Linked DNA regions of Saccharomyces cerevisiae S288C. The main gene of each other region encodes a partner of the protein of the gene in region 4 in a complex. Each region holds a gene or a part of one and is shown on either strand. Other genes may lie near its edges. The genes, in order: RSC8, RSC2, RSC4 and RSC58. A codon is read from its position in the direction of its gene.

Region 1 (3,920 bases), on a different chromosome or scaffold from region 4:
GAAACGTGGCCGATGTATTCATCGTTCAATGTGAAAAAATCCTTGATTAATTCTTTGAACATGGTTTTTTTCAACTTTCCATTCAATCCAGCCTTATAGAATTTTTCCTGTGCAGACGTCATCGGACAATTTATGATATATTCTCTCTTTGGCGGCAGAATATTAGCCAAAACAACTTTTTTCAATCTTCTCAAAAGGAATGGTTTCAGAATTGTGTGTAAATTGGAAATCAAATTTTTCTGTAGTTCATCGTTGATTAACTTATTCAATGCTTCAGAGTTGGAACCGGAGCCTAAATTTAAGCTGTCGAAGTCAAACCATTTATTGAATATCTCGAAATCGGCAAAGATATCGGGCATTATGAAATTCAAAAGTGACCATAATTCAGCTAGGTTATTTTGTAAAGGCGTCCCTGTTAGTAGCAGTCTATTGGAAGTATTGATTTTTTTTAACTCTTTAATCAATCTACAGTTTATATTTTTCAGACGGTGGCCTTCATCAACAATTAAAAATTTCCAATTTTGACTCATGATTAAGTCGGTATCTCTTAAAATAATTTCATATGATGTGATGACGATCCCCGTGCCGCCGTGTTGTTTAAAGAAATTTTTCAACTTGGCAGAACGTTCCTTATAACCATTGGTCCCATAATATTTTAGAACTGGTAGATCAGGAGCGAATTTTGCAAATTCGTTCATCCAATTATCTAGGGTGCTTAATGGTGCAGTCACTAGAAAAGGACCCTTTGTGTCCATTTCATATATGAACGCCAAAAGAGCAATACTTTGAACAGTCTTACCAAGACCCATTTCATCGGCAAGAATTCCGTTCAGGCCATTTTCATAAAGAGTGATCAGCCAGTTAAGACCTTCTAGTTGGTAAGGTTTTAAAATACAGTTTTTCAATAGGCGAGGTTGCTTTATTGCTGCATCGTCTGGTGCGCCGTTTTGGGTGGTTGTATCTTCGTTCTTTTTCTGTTTTTTGAAGAAATCTGTTATTGATTTTTTTTTTGTTTTACGTTTTTTTGAAGAATGTTCTTCATCATCAGAGTTGCTGTTATCTTTTGTATTAGCGTTAGCCACTTCATTAGATCGATGTAGTAAAGTATCGGCGATTATACTGGAATATACCTGACTCTGCCTCACAAACTCGTTTAGTTTCTTAAGTTTTAAAGAAACCGTCTTGGTATCCATCTCGGAGAGCTCATCATCCAAGGATTTTTGCTCTGATTTCGTGTCTTTTGCCAATTTATCCACCACTTGGGCTTGAACAGCTTCTGTATCGGAATCGTCCTCTGAGTCCAGCTGAATATCTTCGTCTGAATGCACATCATCTTGTAACCATATGGGGGCAGTGTCATTGTCGCCTTTGCCATGTTTATTGTCCTCTGAATCCAAATCTGAATCTGAATCTGAAATGTCAGCCGTTAGGTCATTGACTTCCTTCTCCCGGTAATTGACGCCATTGCTCATGTTTCTCGTCCTTGCAGCCACCCTGGCCCCAACAGCATCCTCAACAACAGTCATCAGCGCCGCGTTTGAGCATCTGCTCATCTCATCGCCAAATTTGATACTTCCTTAATCCGTTACTCTTTTCTATGATAATTTAATTACGGCGTTCTCTTTGTCACCCGCTTGATGTAAAAAAGTTGGAAAAAATAAGTTTCATCAACATTGAATTAGTTCGTGAGGTTTATAGAGAGAAGGGTAGAGCAGAGAAGCAAAGAGTAGATAGAAGGCCAGGATAATGAGCGACACTGAAAAGGATAAGGATGTCCCTATGGTAGACTCGCACGAAGCGACCGAGGAGCCACCCACCACAAGCACCAACACGCCATCTTTCCCTCACTTAGCACAGGAACAGGCGAAGGAGGAATCTGCCACATTGGGAGCAGAAGTAGCTCATAAGAAAATCAATTACGAGCAAGAAGCACAGAAACTGGAGGAGAAGGCCCTTAGGTTCCTGGCAAAGCAAACTCACCCGGTGATTATTCCGTCGTTTGCCTCTTGGTTTGATATTTCGAAGATCCACGAGATCGAAAAAAGATCCAATCCCGACTTTTTCAACGATTCATCAAGGTTCAAGACACCAAAGGCATATAAGGACACAAGAAATTTTATCATCAACACGTACCGTCTTTCGCCGTACGAATATTTGACCATTACCGCTGTGAGAAGAAATGTTGCCATGGATGTTGCCTCGATAGTGAAGATTCACGCGTTCTTGGAAAAATGGGGCTTAATCAATTATCAGATTGACCCCAGGACCAAGCCCAGTCTTATTGGGCCAAGTTTTACGGGCCACTTCCAAGTGGTTCTGGACACTCCGCAGGGGTTAAAGCCATTTTTACCAGAGAATGTGATCAAGCAAGAAGTGGAAGGAGGAGATGGAGCGGAACCACAAGTCAAGAAGGAATTTCCCGTTAATCTCACAATCAAGAAGAACGTTTACGATTCTGCACAAGACTTCAATGCATTACAAGACGAAAGTAGAAACTCCAGGCAGATTCACAAAGTTTACATTTGCCATACATGCGGTAACGAGTCAATCAATGTGCGCTACCACAATTTGCGTGCACGGGACACCAACCTGTGCTCCCGTTGTTTCCAAGAGGGTCATTTCGGTGCCAACTTTCAATCTTCAGATTTCATCAGATTAGAAAACAACGGAAACTCGGTTAAAAAAAACTGGTCAGACCAGGAGATGCTACTATTGCTGGAGGGTATTGAAATGTATGAAGACCAGTGGGAGAAGATTGCTGACCACGTGGGTGGGCACAAGCGTGTAGAAGACTGCATTGAAAAATTCCTAAGCTTACCGATCGAGGACAACTACATCCGAGAAGTTGTTGGTTCAACGCTGAATGGTAAGGGTGGCGACAGCCGCGATGGTAGTGTGTCCGGTTCGAAGTTGATGGAATGCGTGAATGATGCTGTCCAGACGCTACTGCAAGGCGACGACAAATTGGGTAAGGTCTCTGATAAGTCGAGAGAGATCTCCGAAAAGTACATTGAAGAAAGCCAAGCGATAATCCAAGAGTTAGTCAAGCTGACCATGGAGAAATTAGAGAGCAAGTTTACAAAGCTGTGCGATCTAGAAACGCAACTGGAGATGGAAAAACTGAAATATGTGAAGGAATCTGAAAAGATGCTGAACGACCGATTATCACTGAGTAAACAGATTCTTGACCTGAACAAGTCGCTGGAGGAGTTGAATGTGTCGAAGAAACTGGTACTGATCTCGGAGCAAGTAGACTCGGGCATACAACTAGTGGAGAAGGACCAGGAGGGCGATGACGAAGACGGCAATACGGCCACAGGACATGGCGTGAAACGTGTAGGCAAGGAAGGCGAGGAAGTAGGCGAAGGCGACTCCATTGCAAAATTGCAGCCCCAGGTGTACAAACCGTGGTCATTGTAAAAAAATATATAAGAAAAAAAAAAAAAAAAAAAAAGAGAGCCTACAAAGTGTACTATTGTCATATTTTATATTTCTAATACAACGTATATAAAACTAGAGAGAAGAAATTTTATAAGTGAAAGTGAATGTGGATGCGTGCGCGTGTGCGTGTGCGTGTGCGTATGCGGATATGCTATTATTCCTCGCGGATGTAGAAGGGGTTGTGGTTGTCGTTTGCATTGGACGTCTCGTGGGCGGTATTGCTGTCGGTGGACAGATGCAAGGAATTGAGGACTCTGGTGTGCGCTACCGAGGCTGCTTTGTCGTTGTAAGATGACATGTCGTCATCTTCATCGATATCGTTATCGTTATCGTTATTGTTGTCTTCGATATTCTGCGATGTGTCCTGAAAGTCTGTATTGGAGTGCAGCGATCCGCCATTTTTTCCTTGGAAGTATTTTGTCTTCTCGATATTCAGCTGCTGCTTGAGTTTCTGCTCGTTCAGGTCATCGATCAGAGAG
Region 2 (5,127 bases), 630 kb from region 4:
GTGTAAAAGCCATTGAGTCAAGTTAGGTCATCCCTTTTATACAAAATTTTTCAATTTTTTTTCCAAGATTCTTGTACGATTAATTATTTTTTTTTTGCGTCCTACAGCGTGATGAAAATTTCGCCTGCTGCAAGATGAGCGGGAACGGGCGAAATGTGCACGCGCACAACTTACGAAACGCGGATGAGTCACTGACAGCCACCGCAGAGGTTCTGACTCCTACTGAGCTCTATTGGAGGTGGCAGAACCGGTACCGGAGGAGACCGCTATAACCGGTTTGAATTTATTGTCACAGTGTCACATCAGCGGCAACTCAGAAGTTTGACAGCAAGCAAGTTCATCATTCGAACTAGCCTTATTGTTTTAGTTCAGTGACAGCGAACTGCCGTACTCGATGCTTTATTTCTCACGGTAGAGCGGAAGAACAGATAGGGGCAGCGTGAGAAGAGTTAGAAAGTAAATTTTTATCACGTCTGAAGTATTCTTATTCATAGGAAATTTTGCAAGGTTTTTTAGCTCAATAACGGGCTAAGTTATATAAGGTGTTCACGCGATTTTCTTGTTATGTATACCTCTTCTCTGAGGAATGGTACTACTGTCCTGATGTAGGCTCCTTAAATTGGTGGGCAAGAATAACTTATCGATATTTTGTATATTGGTCTTGGAGTTCACCACGTAATGCCTGTTTAAGACCATCAGTTAACTCTAGTATTATTTGGTCTTGGCTACTGGCCGTTTGCTATTATTCAAGTCTTTTGTGCCTTCCCGTCGGGTAAGGGAGTTATTTAGGGATACAGAATCTAACGAAAACTAAATCTCAATGATTAACTCCATTTAATCCTTTTTTGAAAGGCAAAAGAGGTCCCTTGTTCACTTACAACGTTCTTAGCCAAATTCGCTTATCACTTACTACTTCACGATATACAGAAGTAAAAACATATAAAAAGATGTCTGTTTGTTTAGCCATCACAAAAGGTATCGCAGTTTCTTCTATAGGCCTCTACTCTGGTCTTTTGGCTTCCGCTTCATTGATTACATCTACTACTCCACTAGAGGTTTTAACAGGATCCCTTACTCCCACTTTAACCACTTTGAAAAATGCGGCCACCGCCTTGGGAGCGTTTGCGTCAACTTTCTTTTGTGTGAGCTTTTTCGGCGCTCCTCCCTCATTGAGACACCCCTACTTACTCTATGGTATGCTTGTAGCTCCATTATCTTCATTTGTTCTAGGATGTGCCTCCAACTATCAGTCTAGAAAGTACAGTAAAGTCTCTAAGGAATCTTCTTTATTTCCCGAAGACAGCAAACTCGCTGCTTCCGAACTGAGCGATTCTATTATTGATTTAGGTGAAGACAACCATGCTTCAGAAAATACACCTCGAGACGGGAAGCCTGCAGCAACCACAGTATCAAAGCCGGCAGAGGCATTGCACACCGGTCCCCCAATCCATACTAAAAATCTAATTGCAGCAACTGCTATTGCTATTGTTGGCTTTGTACAAGCCGTTATTGGCGTTTATGGGGAAGGACAATTTATCTAGTGTTTCTCGTTCACGTATTTATCTCTACAAGAATTTGTAGCTGCCTGAACTCGGCTCCTCTCTCTCTCCAAAAATAAAGTGTGTAGTAATTTGCAGTTTTTTTATATATTCCTACGAGTTTTCAAACGTTCAAAAGACAGTATGTTCAAAAATTGTGCATACACACACGTATGCACATATATACATAATAATACACTGTAATAAGCACATTTGTAGGTGCTCTTGCACTTGGTTTATTACTGTCACTGACTTTTCTCACCCGGCCGAGAGTCGTGCGAAAATTCGCATGTTAAAGTGAGAAAATAGAGAAAACAACACAGCTGAAAAAAGTATTGGTAACAGTTCAATACGTGATCAAATATACAGCACGTCGCGCAGAACCAGACGAAGCGGAGAATATTCTACATTGACAGTGCATGATGCCTGATGACAATTCAAACTCGTCCACTCAAAACTCAAGCGCATTATACAAGGACCTGAGGAAAGAATATGAATCTCTTTTCACTTTAAAGGAAGATTCTGGGTTAGAGATTTCACCAATATTCAATGTCCTTCCACCTAAAAAGGATTATCCTGACTACTACGCAGTGATCAAGAACCCTGTATCTTTCAATACTTTAAAAAAGCGTATTCCACATTATACAGATGCTCAACAGTTTATGAACGATGTTGTCCAGATTCCATGGAATGCCAAGACTTACAATACAAGAGATTCAGGAATTTATAAATACGCCTTAGTCCTTGAGAAATATTTAAAGGACACAATCTATCCAAATTTAAAAGAAAAATATCCTCAATTAGTGTATCCTGATTTGGGTCCTCTACCCGATGAACCAGGTTATGAAGAGTTTCAACAGAAATTAAGAGAAAAAGCTGAGGAAGTAGCGAGAGCTAATGCAGCCAGAGCCGAGTCGAGCTCTTCAATGAATTCAACAGAAGCAGCCAGAAGATTAAGAAAGACTCGTACTTCCGTCAAAAGAGAATCAGAACCAGGAACCGATACAAATAATGATGAGGACTATGAGGCGACGGATATGGATATCGATAACCCTAAGGATGCTGATTTTCCTGATTTGATAAGAAAGCCACTAATAAATATTAATCCATATACTCGGAAACCATTAAGAGACAACAGGTCCACTACTCCATCTCACTCAGGCACCCCTCAGCCGTTAGGCCCAAGGCATAGACAGGTATCCAGAACTCAGGTAAAGCGTGGGAGACCCCCAATCATCGACTTACCGTATATTCAAAGAATGAAAAATGTTATGAAAGTACTAAAAAAAGAGGTGCTAGATAGTGGAATTGGTCTAACTGATCTTTTTGAAAGATTGCCCGATAGACACAGAGATGCAAATTACTACATCATGATTGCTAATCCAATTAGTCTTCAAGACATAAATAAAAAGGTAAAGACTCGTCGTTATAAAACGTTCCAGGAGTTCCAGAATGATTTTAATCTTATGTTAACCAACTTTAGAATTTCGCACAGAGGTGATCCTGAAAGCATAAAAATTTCAAATATCTTAGAAAAGACCTTTACTAGTCTGGCAAGATTCGAACTATCCAAACCTGATAGAAGTTTCATTCCAGAAGGCGAGCTAAGATACCCTCTAGATGAAGTCATTGTAAATAATATATCATACCACGTGGGAGATTGGGCACTTCTTCGAAATCAAAATGATCCTCAAAAACCTATAGTGGGCCAAATATTCAGGCTATGGAAGACACCAGATGGGAAACAATGGTTAAACGCTTGTTGGTATTACAGACCCGAACAAACTGTGCATAGAGTGGATAGATTGTTTTACAAAAACGAAGTTATGAAAACAGGTCAGTACCGTGATCATTTAGTGTCAAACTTAGTTGGGAAATGCTATGTGATTCACTTTACTAGATATCAACGTGGTAATCCCGATATGAAATTGGAGGGTCCCTTGTTCGTTTGCGAATTCCGTTATAATGAATCCGATAAAATTTTTAACAAGATTAGAACCTGGAAGGCTTGCTTACCAGAGGAAATTCGTGATTTGGACGAAGCTACCATTCCGGTAAATGGTAGAAAGTTCTTCAAATATCCTTCCCCCATAAGACATCTACTACCAGCTAATGCAACGCCGCATGATCGCGTTCCTGAACCAACGATGGGATCCCCGGACGCGCCACCATTGGTCGGTGCCGTTTATATGAGACCTAAAATGCAGCGTGACGATTTGGGGGAATATGCAACCTCTGATGACTGTCCCAGGTATATTATCAGACCCAACGATTCTCCCGAAGAGGGACAAGTGGATATAGAAACAGGTACGATCACCACAAACACGCCAACAGCAAATGCTCTTCCTAAAACAGGATACTCAAGTAGTAAACTATCCAGTTTAAGATATAACAGGTCATCTATGTCTTTAGAAAACCAAAATGCTATTGGCCAGCAACAAATACCACTGTCAAGAGTTGGTTCCCCTGGCGCGGGAGGCCCGCTTACTGTACAAGGTTTAAAGCAACACCAATTGCAAAGGTTACAACAGCAGCAACATCAATACCAACAACAGAAAAGATCCCAAGCATCACGTTATAATATCCCAACAATAATCGATGATTTAACATCGCAGGCATCAAGAGGTAATTTGGGTAATATAATGATCGATGCAGCCTCCTCGTTTGTCTTACCTATCTCTATAACCAAAAACGTAGATGTTTTGCAGCGTACTGATCTGCACAGCCAAACCAAGAGATCTGGAAGAGAAGAGATGTTTCCATGGAAAAAAACAAAGGGTGAAATATTATGGTTCAGAGGACCTAGTGTGATAGTAAATGAACGAATAATAAATTCAGGTGACCCACACCTAAGCCTGCCACTGAATAGGTGGTTTACCACTAACAAGAAAAGAAAACTAGAATACGAAGAAGTTGAAGAAACCATGGAAGATGTGACTGGAAAGGACAAAGATGATGATGGCTTAGAACCGGATGTTGAAAATGAGAAAGAGTCCTTGCCAGGCCCATTTGTCCTTGGATTAAGACCCTCGGCTAAGTTCACGGCGCACAGACTCTCTATGCTGCGGCCTCCTTCGTCGTCTTCATGATCACCTTTATTGTAAAAGCAATGGCAGCATAATATCTTCCCATTGCGCATTACCCTCCGCGAGCAGAGTCAAACTTCAAACAAAGCAGGAAAATGAAATAAAACAGAAGTTATTATATAGAAGAAAGTCATCTATAGATATATTATCGTTGTATTAATAGTAGCCATATAAAACAATTATACTTCATCACCAACCTCTCAAAATTTCTTCCCCAAGGACCAAAGCTTTTCCAGTAAGTTGCTACAACTAAAGTGAAATAAACTATCCGAATTATATAAAAGATGCCTGACTATGACAATTACACTACGCCATTGTCTTCTAGATATGCCTCCAAGGAAATGTCAGCAACGTTTTCTTTGAGAAACAGATTTTCCACATGGAGAAAACTATGGTTAAATTTGGCTATTGCTGAGAAGGAATTGGGCTTAACTGTTGTTACAGATGAAGCAATTGAGCAAATGCGCAAACACGTCGAAATCACTGATGATGAAATCGCAAAA
Region 3 (4,038 bases), on a different chromosome or scaffold from region 4:
GGATAGCATTTGGCTCAGCTTCTTTATAAGCGAGTTTAGGATCGTTGGCAGATGGCAAAATTTTTTCCTTAATATACCTTTTAAACTGCAAGGGTGTGCTTAAAGTGGTCAGTTCATAATCAGGAATTAGATAGCCAGATTTAGATTGCAAAAATTTGGTGAACTGAAATTTAGCTACCAAATCAGAGAATTGGACGTCCTGGTCTACTTTGCCCAATGTTTTTTCCGTTGCCTGCAATATCATATCATCTAACTGATTATCAGACGTAATCTTATCCCTGGATAACCACTGATTGAATGGCGCAGAGGAGACCGCAAGCTTCAACTCCTTCTGTCTCTTACACCGTCTAGACCCTTCGCCAATAAAATTTTCTGGTATTAGCTCCAATCTGTTTTTGTTATTGGAAGAGGATTGAGAGGAAGCCTCGTTAGTGCCTTCTTCAATATCCTTTATCAACTGTTTGGTGTCCTTGACAGGCTCTTGGTGCTCTTCTTGCTTCTTCCTCTTGAACCATGACATAAAGTCCCCGTTTGCAGCGGAACTGTGAATACATCTGGCTTTCTGCTTGTAGCCAGAGAGCCAGACCGACCTTTGCGGCAATGGTCTAATACAATGTAATTTAAGCAGTGACGACATCCTCATACTATGTCCGCCTTTCCGTCTACCCATTATTCACTTCAGGACTGATGATCAGGCATGCAGTTAATTTGACAGAAGTCGTTGTTTCACTATAAATTTGTCAGCTACCCGCCTCACCAGCAGCGATAAAGAACGAAGAATAAAAGAGAGCATTCACAGAGTACGAATCCAGTATAGCGGTAGTGGATACAACGACAGATTTAAGTCGTAAAAATGGGAGCCGTACTCAGCTGTTGTAGAAACCATTCCGGCGAAGAGAATGAAGCTTTGCTGAGGGAACAGCAGGCAGGCTATGGAAGTCAAGGAAACGCAAATGACGAATACGATGCCGAACAAATGCGGTTGAAGGAACACGAACACGAACAGAAACTGCTGGCCAGGGAACAAGAGTTAAGAGACATTGTTGCAAACACCAACGATAAACTAATAGACATATCGATGATAAACAATAGTGGCATTGTAATTCAAGGGACAGACCTGCAAGAAGCTCTTGATAAAAGACAACAGGAAGAAGGTGGAGATTCCCGGGAAGACGAAAGGAGTGCAGGTGATGACAACCTCAGTGGGCACTCAGTGCCTTCAAGCGGATCCGCACAGGCAACTACTCACCAAACTGCACCAAGGACTAATACGTTTACTCTGCTTACATCACCGGATTCAGCGAAAATATCAAAGGAACAGTTAAAGAAGTTGCACTCTAATATACTAAATGAAATTTTCAGCCAGTCCCAGGTAAACAAACCAGGCCCCTTGACGGTTCCCTTTTAATGAACTTTTTGTATAACATCATTGGTATACAAGCTTTATAAATAAATGTTAAATAGTTAATGAAATAAAAAATCACATTTGACGAATTCGGAAGACAAGTAGCCCAAGAAAAAAAACAACAAAAGCATGCTAGAGGATGATGTTTAAAACGACCCTCAGCCTGTTATTACAATAGAGAGCAAACCAAAGAATAATAGATAAAGTACACAGATATGGTAGTTAAGAAGCGTAAGTTGGCAACTGAGGCCGGTGGCAGTGATGAAAGGCCTAAATACTTGCCGGGAAAACATCCTAAAAACCAAGAGAAAACTCCGCATGTGGATTATAACGCCCCATTAAACCCTAAATCTGAACTTTTTCTAGATGACTGGCATATACCTAAATTTAATCGATTTATTAGTTTCACTTTGGATGTTCTTATCGACAAATACAAAGATATTTTCAAAGATTTCATCAAACTACCAAGTAGGAAGTTTCATCCACAGTATTATTACAAGATCCAGCAGCCAATGTCTATTAATGAAATCAAGTCAAGAGATTATGAATACGAAGATGGTCCAAGTAATTTTCTTTTGGATGTTGAGCTACTGACAAAGAATTGTCAAGCTTACAATGAATATGACAGTTTGATTGTAAAAAACTCCATGCAAGTAGTAATGTTGATTGAATTTGAAGTATTGAAGGCAAAAAATTTGAAAAGAAATTACTTAATTAACAGCGAGGTCAAAGCCAAATTACTGCACTATCTTAATAAGCTAGTTGACGCCACGGAAAAGAAAATCAACCAGGCTCTGCTGGGTGCGTCATCTCCTAAAAACTTAGACGACAAAGTCAAGCTAAGTGAACCGTTTATGGAATTAGTCGATAAAGATGAACTTCCTGAATATTATGAAATAGTGCATAGCCCCATGGCTTTATCGATCGTAAAGCAGAACCTCGAAATTGGTCAGTATTCCAAGATATATGATTTCATCATTGATATGCTTTTAGTTTTTCAGAATGCTCATATATTCAATGATCCAAGCGCTTTGATTTACAAAGACGCAACAACTTTAACAAATTATTTTAACTACTTAATACAAAAGGAATTCTTCCCAGAGTTACAGGATTTAAATGAACGTGGCGAAATTAATTTAGAATTTGACAAATTCGAATTCGAAAACTACTTAGCTATTGGTGGTGGTGGTCCAGCCGCAGCAGGTGCGTTAGCTATATCTGCTCTTGATAATGATATTGAGCCAGAATCTAACCGTGAAGATCTTATTGATCAAGCAGATTATGATTTCAATCATTTCGAAGGTCTCGGCAATGGTTATAATCGTTCTCTCCTAACTGAAGATTATTTACTGAACCCAAACAACTTCAAAAAGTTAATAGCCAAACCGGAAACAGTGCAATCCGAAGTCAAAAATGAAAGATCAACGACATCTGATATTGAGAAGACAAACTCCTTAGAGAGCGAACATTTAAAAATCCCCAAATACAATGTTATAAAATCCATGCAAAAAGAAATGCAATCACTCTCAGAGCAACACACCATGGAGTATAAGCCCTATAAATTAATACAACAAATTTACATTTTTTCTTCTAAAAATTTGTATTCGCAGGCAACTAAGCCTTTACTGGGTTCAAGGCCATCATGCAATCAAAATTGGGTAGAGTATATTTTCAATGGTAATGAATTGAGTCAAAATGAAAACGCTTTCTCCTTCATGTTACAACCCATGCAAACTTTTTTAACATTACAGTCTCATTTGACCTCATCATTAAAGGATACAGAGACTTTATTAACCATTAATAAAGAGCCAGTGAAGTCTAGAACTTCAAATGTAAACAGTAACCTTTCCCAACCTCAGCAACAAGAAAATGATGTTATTGGAAACGATACGAAGCAAGATATAGAAAATTTGACAATCGGCGGCGGCAACAATAACGATATTGTTGGTAACGATAATGATAAACGTAATAATATAACCGAAATCTTTGATATTCGCTTATCAGAAGGTTTAAATCATTTGATGTTTAGGTGTGAGGACAAAATATCTCATGAAACGGAATTCATGAATTTCTGGATAAATGTCTTACCATGATGACTATCTCTCTCTTCATAGTCTTCCCATCATATGCATGTATCTATATACAACCTATATACACTTTGTAATATTATCCATCCTCTTCCTCTATATAGATTAAAACTGTTAATATTACACATGACAAAAAAGTTGCGTCCGTAAAGAAAAAGTACTTAAAATGGGTAGGTTAGTTATGTAGGGAAAGATGTATGTAAGGATATGGCTTAACAAAGCTGTTAAATGAAAAGAATATAATCGCTATTTTTTATATTATTCAAATCTTTTTTTGTATTATAGTTTAGATTTTGCCTGCGATAGTTTTACAGCGGCGTTATCCAATACAATGACGTTTCTGGTCGTATCAATTGTTTGAAAAACGACAACCGAGCCTTGCTTCCAAGCTTTAACCTTTAGAGTATCACCTGGGAAAACAACATTGGTAAATCTCACTTTCAACTCCTCATATGGACCATAATGTTCAAACAATGCTTTCGCACTAATACCTAATGTACAAAGCCCATGCAGAATTGGCGTAGGAAATTTAACTGCTTTGGCTAG
Region 4 (3,588 bases):
CCTGGCGGCAAATTAATTACTGGAAGACCTTTGTATCAACGCCTTTTGAGAGTAAAAATTACAAACAAGCATTTGATGTGGTGAATGCAATTCTGGAACCCGTATTGTTAAGAAGGACAAAACAAATGAAAGATAAAGATGGTAAGCCATTAGTAGAGTTGCCACCAAAGGAGGTCGTTATTAAAAGACTTCCCTTCAGTAAATCTCAAGATCTTCTATACAAGTTTCTGTTGGATAAGGCTGAAGTTTCTGTTAAATCGGGTATTGCACGCGGTGATTTATTGAAAAAGTACTCCACTATCCTTGTCCATATTTTAAGATTGAGGCAAGTCTGTTGCCATCCCGGTCTTATTGGGAGTCAAGATGAGAACGATGAGGATTTATCTAAAAATAATAAATTGGTTACGGAACAAACGGTGGAGCTTGACTCTTTAATGCGTGTTGTTTCCGAGAGATTCGATAACTCATTTTCTAAGGAGGAATTAGATGCAATGATACAAAGATTAAAAGTTAAATATCCAGACAATAAATCGTTTCAGTCCTTAGAGTGCTCCATCTGCACAACGGAACCTATGGATTTGGACAAGGCTTTATTTACAGAATGCGGCCACAGTTTTTGTGAGAAATGTTTATTTGAATATATTGAGTTTCAGAACAGTAAGAATTTGGGTTTAAAGTGCCCCAATTGCCGTAACCAAATAGACGCTTGTCGGTTGTTGGCATTGGTACAAACGAATAGCAACTCGAAAAATTTGGAATTCAAACCATATTCACCAGCCTCCAAATCAAGCAAAATCACTGCTTTATTGAAGGAGCTTCAATTGCTACAGGATAGTTCGGCAGGCGAACAAGTTGTCATTTTTTCCCAATTTTCTACATACTTGGATATCCTGGAGAAAGAGCTAACTCATACTTTCTCAAAAGATGTTGCAAAAATTTATAAATTCGATGGACGTCTCTCATTAAAAGAAAGAACTAGTGTATTAGCAGATTTTGCCGTTAAAGACTATAGCAGGCAAAAAATCCTATTACTCTCGCTGAAGGCTGGTGGCGTGGGTTTGAATCTAACGTGTGCTTCCCACGCTTATATGATGGACCCATGGTGGTCGCCCAGTATGGAAGATCAGGCAATCGATAGACTGCATAGAATTGGCCAGACAAACAGCGTCAAAGTTATGAGATTTATCATACAAGATAGCATAGAAGAAAAAATGCTACGCATTCAAGAAAAGAAGAGAACCATCGGTGAGGCCATGGACACAGACGAAGACGAGAGAAGAAAAAGGAGAATTGAAGAAATCCAGATGCTGTTTGAATAGTCATACCACATACTCATATATAAAGACTTTATTTATTATTATTTTCAACCCGAAAGAACTAATTATTCTTCAGCTACTTCATGCAACTTCTATTATCTTCCTTTTCCGTTACCCGTATTTTTAAGTTGCAATTATTAAAAAAACAATTAAGAAAATAAAACAGCGCCATAAGGCATGGACGATAGAAATACGAAGACGAAGAAAATCATCATCAGTCGGGATCAAATAAGAGATAATTTTGAAAATCGAAAGTTTTCATTATGACAGAAAGTGTAGGTGGAAATAAACTAGTAGATTTTTTGGTAAATGTTCAATCCATTTTGAATGCTGCCTCTGTGAAATGTCATGTAGTAGATGAAAGTTTTCCAGCCAAGTTCTTTGAGAAAAATCCGGATAAGATATATGAATCATATTGTAAATTCATTAAAAATAGAAGTAACTCTGAAGGTTTGATACGTAATGAAGATAAATTAGTTTTGACAACTATCAATAAGAGGTTTGAAAATGGAGAGTACGAACCCATACAAGGTGGGTTTTATAAGCTGTATCACGACATTAAGCTGGTTTGTACAATCCTCATTCACTTTTATCCTCAGGGTACAAGAAACTACCAATTAGTCGACAAGTTCTACAAATTTTCTTCAGAGCTTTTATTACGAGAATGTTGTAGGATAGGAATTGCTCTAACGCAAACTAATAATATTAAATCAAGAAGTGGTAAGTTGTTGAGCGGAAACGAGATGGATGAATACGACGATGACGATGCAACAGAACTAGACAAAATAATCTCTTATGATTTTATTAAGATTTCTATGAATTACACAGTGCCGATTTCTCAAACATATCAGATAAGAACGAAGGATATGGACCTTTTTTCTTCGATAATTTCTAAATCTAATCTTGACAAAAGACCTCATGAACTTCCTAATACAAACTTCAAAATAAACAACGTCTTACCTCAAACTGATATAGAAAACGAAGCTCCAAGATTAGGATTTGTAGGCGCTAATACTAGTAATATTCCGGACCCTACGTTACCACCAACTGAAATGATGACTAGATTTTTGCATCCAAATTGGTATGCTTTACCTACAACCGTCTGGCTAAAATATGGTAATTATAATTCTTGGGCACCTTCCTTTAATGAAAACGGCACCGTTGTGGATTCGACAACAAGGGGTCTTATTTGGCTTGAAAGAATTGGTTATATGGACTTGTATGAAAAAAATGAAAAGAAAGTAAAACAAGAAGAATTACTGAACACGAATGAAGAAGGCATAAACAGGAAGCAGAACGATGAAAACAACAAAAATGTTGACGGCAAAAGCAATGGCGTTCAGGACGATGGTGGTGATAATGATAATGATGCGACTATCGCTTCTGCAAATTCAGAGAGTACTGAGAATAAGGAACAATTCATAATCAAGCTTCAAAACTTATATAATTGGACACCATCTAATTACATTGGAGATGACGAAATTGAGAACTTTCGAAATGGCACACCAGATAAGTTGGTTTCAGACTCTCTCTTAAAACTTAAAAGACTTAGAAAGGAGAGGATTTTAAATAAAGTTTTGAAGCCTACTACGGAGGAACGAGAATTATACTTCAAAGTGAAAAGAATACTAAAGGAGGTTATCTTAGCAAAGAAGGTTTCCAAGGTTCCTATAAACAATGTAAGGGCCTTTCCAGTATTACAAACAAACTATAATGGTAGCATACCTGTGGTAAGGGCGCAACCAGGTCGTAAACGGAAACACAAGAAATAAATAGTGTCAGCGGTAGTGGAATCAAAGATAAATAATGAATTATCTTTGTTTTAGTTTCATGAAAGCTCATCAAGTCTTTTTTGACTAATGTATGTTTATATTTTGATATTAGATAAAGTATGCATTTGTTCTGAAGGCTATGCATACGTAAGTATATACTTGGGTTGTATTATGCAGAATAAAGAAATGAGAGAAAACAAGAATCGAGAGAAAACGACACACTTGACAATAAATAGGTTCCATTAAAAATGGATGTCGGCACCTAAGAGATAGGAAATCACCAAATAGCAATTCAAGCTCCCGATTAAAGCCCATACGAAAACAGAGGTATAGGTCAACAAACGACTGTTAGTAAAATCAACTATTTTACTGTGCTTGGAGTTCAATGGAGTGGTTTCATCAGCAATGGCGTTAACATCGGCAGGTGCTCTTACCACACCATTTTCGTCATGAACAACCATCAACTTTCTATTTGCGGTAAAATAAATTAAAGGAGCGGA

The links.
Region 1: the proteins of RSC58 (region 4) and RSC8 are in contact, whole or in part, in a cryo-EM structure (PDB 6V8O), measured with the Saccharomyces cerevisiae proteins. Residues at the interface, in NP_013133.1 of Saccharomyces cerevisiae: Arg137 (codon at 1,988), Asp167 (codon at 2,078), Leu172 (codon at 2,093), Asp173 (codon at 2,096), Ile176 (codon at 2,105), Ser177 (codon at 2,108), Tyr178 (codon at 2,111), Asp179 (codon at 2,114), Phe180 (codon at 2,117), Ile181 (codon at 2,120), Lys182 (codon at 2,123), Ile183 (codon at 2,126), Ser184 (codon at 2,129), Met185 (codon at 2,132), Asn186 (codon at 2,135), Tyr187 (codon at 2,138), Thr188 (codon at 2,141), Val189 (codon at 2,144), Pro190 (codon at 2,147), Ile191 (codon at 2,150), Leu232 (codon at 2,273), Pro233 (codon at 2,276), Thr235 (codon at 2,282), Asp236 (codon at 2,285), Ile237 (codon at 2,288), Glu238 (codon at 2,291), Glu240 (codon at 2,297), Ile387 (codon at 2,738), Ile388 (codon at 2,741), Lys389 (codon at 2,744); in NP_116695.3 of Saccharomyces cerevisiae: Thr229 (codon at 2,431), Asn233 (codon at 2,443), Val234 (codon at 2,446), Tyr235 (codon at 2,449), Asp236 (codon at 2,452), Gln239 (codon at 2,461), Phe241 (codon at 2,467), Ala243 (codon at 2,473), Glu247 (codon at 2,485), His255 (codon at 2,509), Tyr258 (codon at 2,518), Ile259 (codon at 2,521), His261 (codon at 2,527), Cys263 (codon at 2,533), Glu266 (codon at 2,542), Ser267 (codon at 2,545), Ile268 (codon at 2,548), Asn269 (codon at 2,551), Val270 (codon at 2,554), Arg271 (codon at 2,557), Tyr272 (codon at 2,560), His273 (codon at 2,563), Asn274 (codon at 2,566), Leu275 (codon at 2,569), Arg276 (codon at 2,572), Ala277 (codon at 2,575), Arg278 (codon at 2,578), Asp279 (codon at 2,581), Ser284 (codon at 2,596), Phe292 (codon at 2,620).
Region 2: the proteins of RSC58 (region 4) and RSC2 are in contact, whole or in part, in a cryo-EM structure (PDB 6K15), measured with the Saccharomyces cerevisiae proteins. Residues at the interface, in NP_013133.1 of Saccharomyces cerevisiae: Asp12 (codon at 1,613), Asn16 (codon at 1,625), Ser19 (codon at 1,634), Ile20 (codon at 1,637), Ala23 (codon at 1,646), Gln112 (codon at 1,913), Gly113 (codon at 1,916), Thr114 (codon at 1,919), Glu129 (codon at 1,964), Leu132 (codon at 1,973), Arg133 (codon at 1,976), Glu134 (codon at 1,979), Cys136 (codon at 1,985), Ile181 (codon at 2,120), Lys182 (codon at 2,123), Ile183 (codon at 2,126), Ser184 (codon at 2,129), Met185 (codon at 2,132), Asn186 (codon at 2,135), Tyr187 (codon at 2,138), Thr188 (codon at 2,141), Val189 (codon at 2,144), Ser192 (codon at 2,153), Thr194 (codon at 2,159), Tyr195 (codon at 2,162), Ile197 (codon at 2,168), Thr199 (codon at 2,174), Met202 (codon at 2,183), Leu204 (codon at 2,189), Phe205 (codon at 2,192); in NP_013461.1 of Saccharomyces cerevisiae: Ile741 (codon at 4,178), Met742 (codon at 4,181), Ala745 (codon at 4,190), Ser747 (codon at 4,196), Phe749 (codon at 4,202), Leu751 (codon at 4,208), Ile755 (codon at 4,220), Asn758 (codon at 4,229), Val759 (codon at 4,232), Asp760 (codon at 4,235), Val761 (codon at 4,238), Leu762 (codon at 4,241), Gln763 (codon at 4,244), Leu790 (codon at 4,325), Trp791 (codon at 4,328), Phe792 (codon at 4,331), Arg793 (codon at 4,334), Gly794 (codon at 4,337), Pro795 (codon at 4,340), Ser796 (codon at 4,343), Val797 (codon at 4,346), Ile798 (codon at 4,349), Val799 (codon at 4,352), Asn800 (codon at 4,355), Glu801 (codon at 4,358), Arg802 (codon at 4,361), Ile803 (codon at 4,364), Ile804 (codon at 4,367), Ser806 (codon at 4,373), His810 (codon at 4,385).
Region 3: the proteins of RSC58 (region 4) and RSC4 are in contact, whole or in part, in a cryo-EM structure (PDB 6K15), measured with the Saccharomyces cerevisiae proteins. Residues at the interface, in NP_013133.1 of Saccharomyces cerevisiae: Ala169 (codon at 2,084), Thr170 (codon at 2,087), Glu171 (codon at 2,090), Leu172 (codon at 2,093), Ile175 (codon at 2,102), Ile176 (codon at 2,105), Asp179 (codon at 2,114), Phe180 (codon at 2,117), Ile181 (codon at 2,120), Lys182 (codon at 2,123), Ile183 (codon at 2,126), Ser184 (codon at 2,129), Met185 (codon at 2,132), Asn186 (codon at 2,135), Tyr187 (codon at 2,138), Thr188 (codon at 2,141), Val189 (codon at 2,144), Pro190 (codon at 2,147), Ile191 (codon at 2,150), Gln193 (codon at 2,156), Gln196 (codon at 2,165), Asp203 (codon at 2,186), Phe205 (codon at 2,192), Lys216 (codon at 2,225), Arg217 (codon at 2,228), Pro218 (codon at 2,231), His219 (codon at 2,234), Ile228 (codon at 2,261), Asn229 (codon at 2,264), Asn230 (codon at 2,267); in NP_012933.4 of Saccharomyces cerevisiae: Leu364 (codon at 2,710), Tyr377 (codon at 2,749), Leu379 (codon at 2,755), Asn380 (codon at 2,758), Asn382 (codon at 2,764), Lys385 (codon at 2,773), Ser429 (codon at 2,905), Met430 (codon at 2,908), Gln431 (codon at 2,911), Lys432 (codon at 2,914), Glu433 (codon at 2,917), Met434 (codon at 2,920), Gln435 (codon at 2,923), Ser436 (codon at 2,926), Leu437 (codon at 2,929), Ser438 (codon at 2,932), His441 (codon at 2,941), Met443 (codon at 2,947), Tyr445 (codon at 2,953), Lys446 (codon at 2,956), Asn478 (codon at 3,052), Trp481 (codon at 3,061), Glu483 (codon at 3,067), Tyr484 (codon at 3,070), Phe486 (codon at 3,076), Asn494 (codon at 3,100), Glu495 (codon at 3,103), Asn496 (codon at 3,106), Ala497 (codon at 3,109), Phe498 (codon at 3,112).

Annotation. Positions count from the first base shown.
Region 1 is NC_001138.5:227,013-230,932, reverse strand, and holds RSC8 (Rsc8p), read left to right. Parts: upstream 1-1,746; coding exon 1,747-3,420; downstream 3,421-3,920. Other genes in the region: IRC5 (putative ATPase), read right to left, coding at 1-1,553; anaphase promoting complex subunit CDC26, read right to left, coding at 3,596-3,920.
Region 2 is NC_001144.5:839,374-844,500, forward strand, and holds RSC2 (Rsc2p), read left to right. Parts: upstream 1-1,957; coding exon 1,958-4,627; downstream 4,628-5,127. Other genes in the region: ATG33 (Atg33p), read left to right, coding at 948-1,541; YLR358C (uncharacterized protein), read right to left, coding at 4,114-4,677; adenylosuccinase ADE13, read left to right, coding at 4,909-5,127. UniProt on the Saccharomyces cerevisiae protein: Component of the chromatin structure remodeling complex (RSC), which is involved in transcription regulation and nucleosome positioning. RSC is responsible for the transfer of a histone octamer from a nucleosome core particle to naked DNA.
Region 3 is NC_001143.9:450,581-454,618, forward strand, and holds RSC4 (Rsc4p), read left to right. Parts: upstream 1-1,620; coding exon 1,621-3,498; downstream 3,499-4,038. Other genes in the region: mitochondrial 54S ribosomal protein mL50 MRPL13, read right to left, coding at 1-637; MEH1 (Meh1p), read left to right, coding at 854-1,408; bifunctional hydroxyacyl-CoA dehydrogenase/enoyl-CoA hydratase FOX2, read right to left, coding at 3,772-4,038. UniProt on the Saccharomyces cerevisiae protein: Component of the chromatin structure remodeling complex (RSC), which is involved in transcription regulation and nucleosome positioning. RSC is responsible for the transfer of a histone octamer from a nucleosome core particle to naked DNA.
Region 4 is NC_001144.5:207,182-210,769, forward strand, and holds RSC58 (Rsc58p), read left to right. Parts: upstream 1-1,579; coding exon 1,580-3,088; downstream 3,089-3,588. Other genes in the region: DNA helicase RAD5, read left to right, coding at 1-1,319; putative divalent metal ion transporter SMF3, read right to left, coding at 3,331-3,588. UniProt on the Saccharomyces cerevisiae protein: Component of the chromatin structure-remodeling complex (RSC), which is involved in transcription regulation and nucleosome positioning. RSC is responsible for the transfer of a histone octamer from a nucleosome core particle to naked DNA.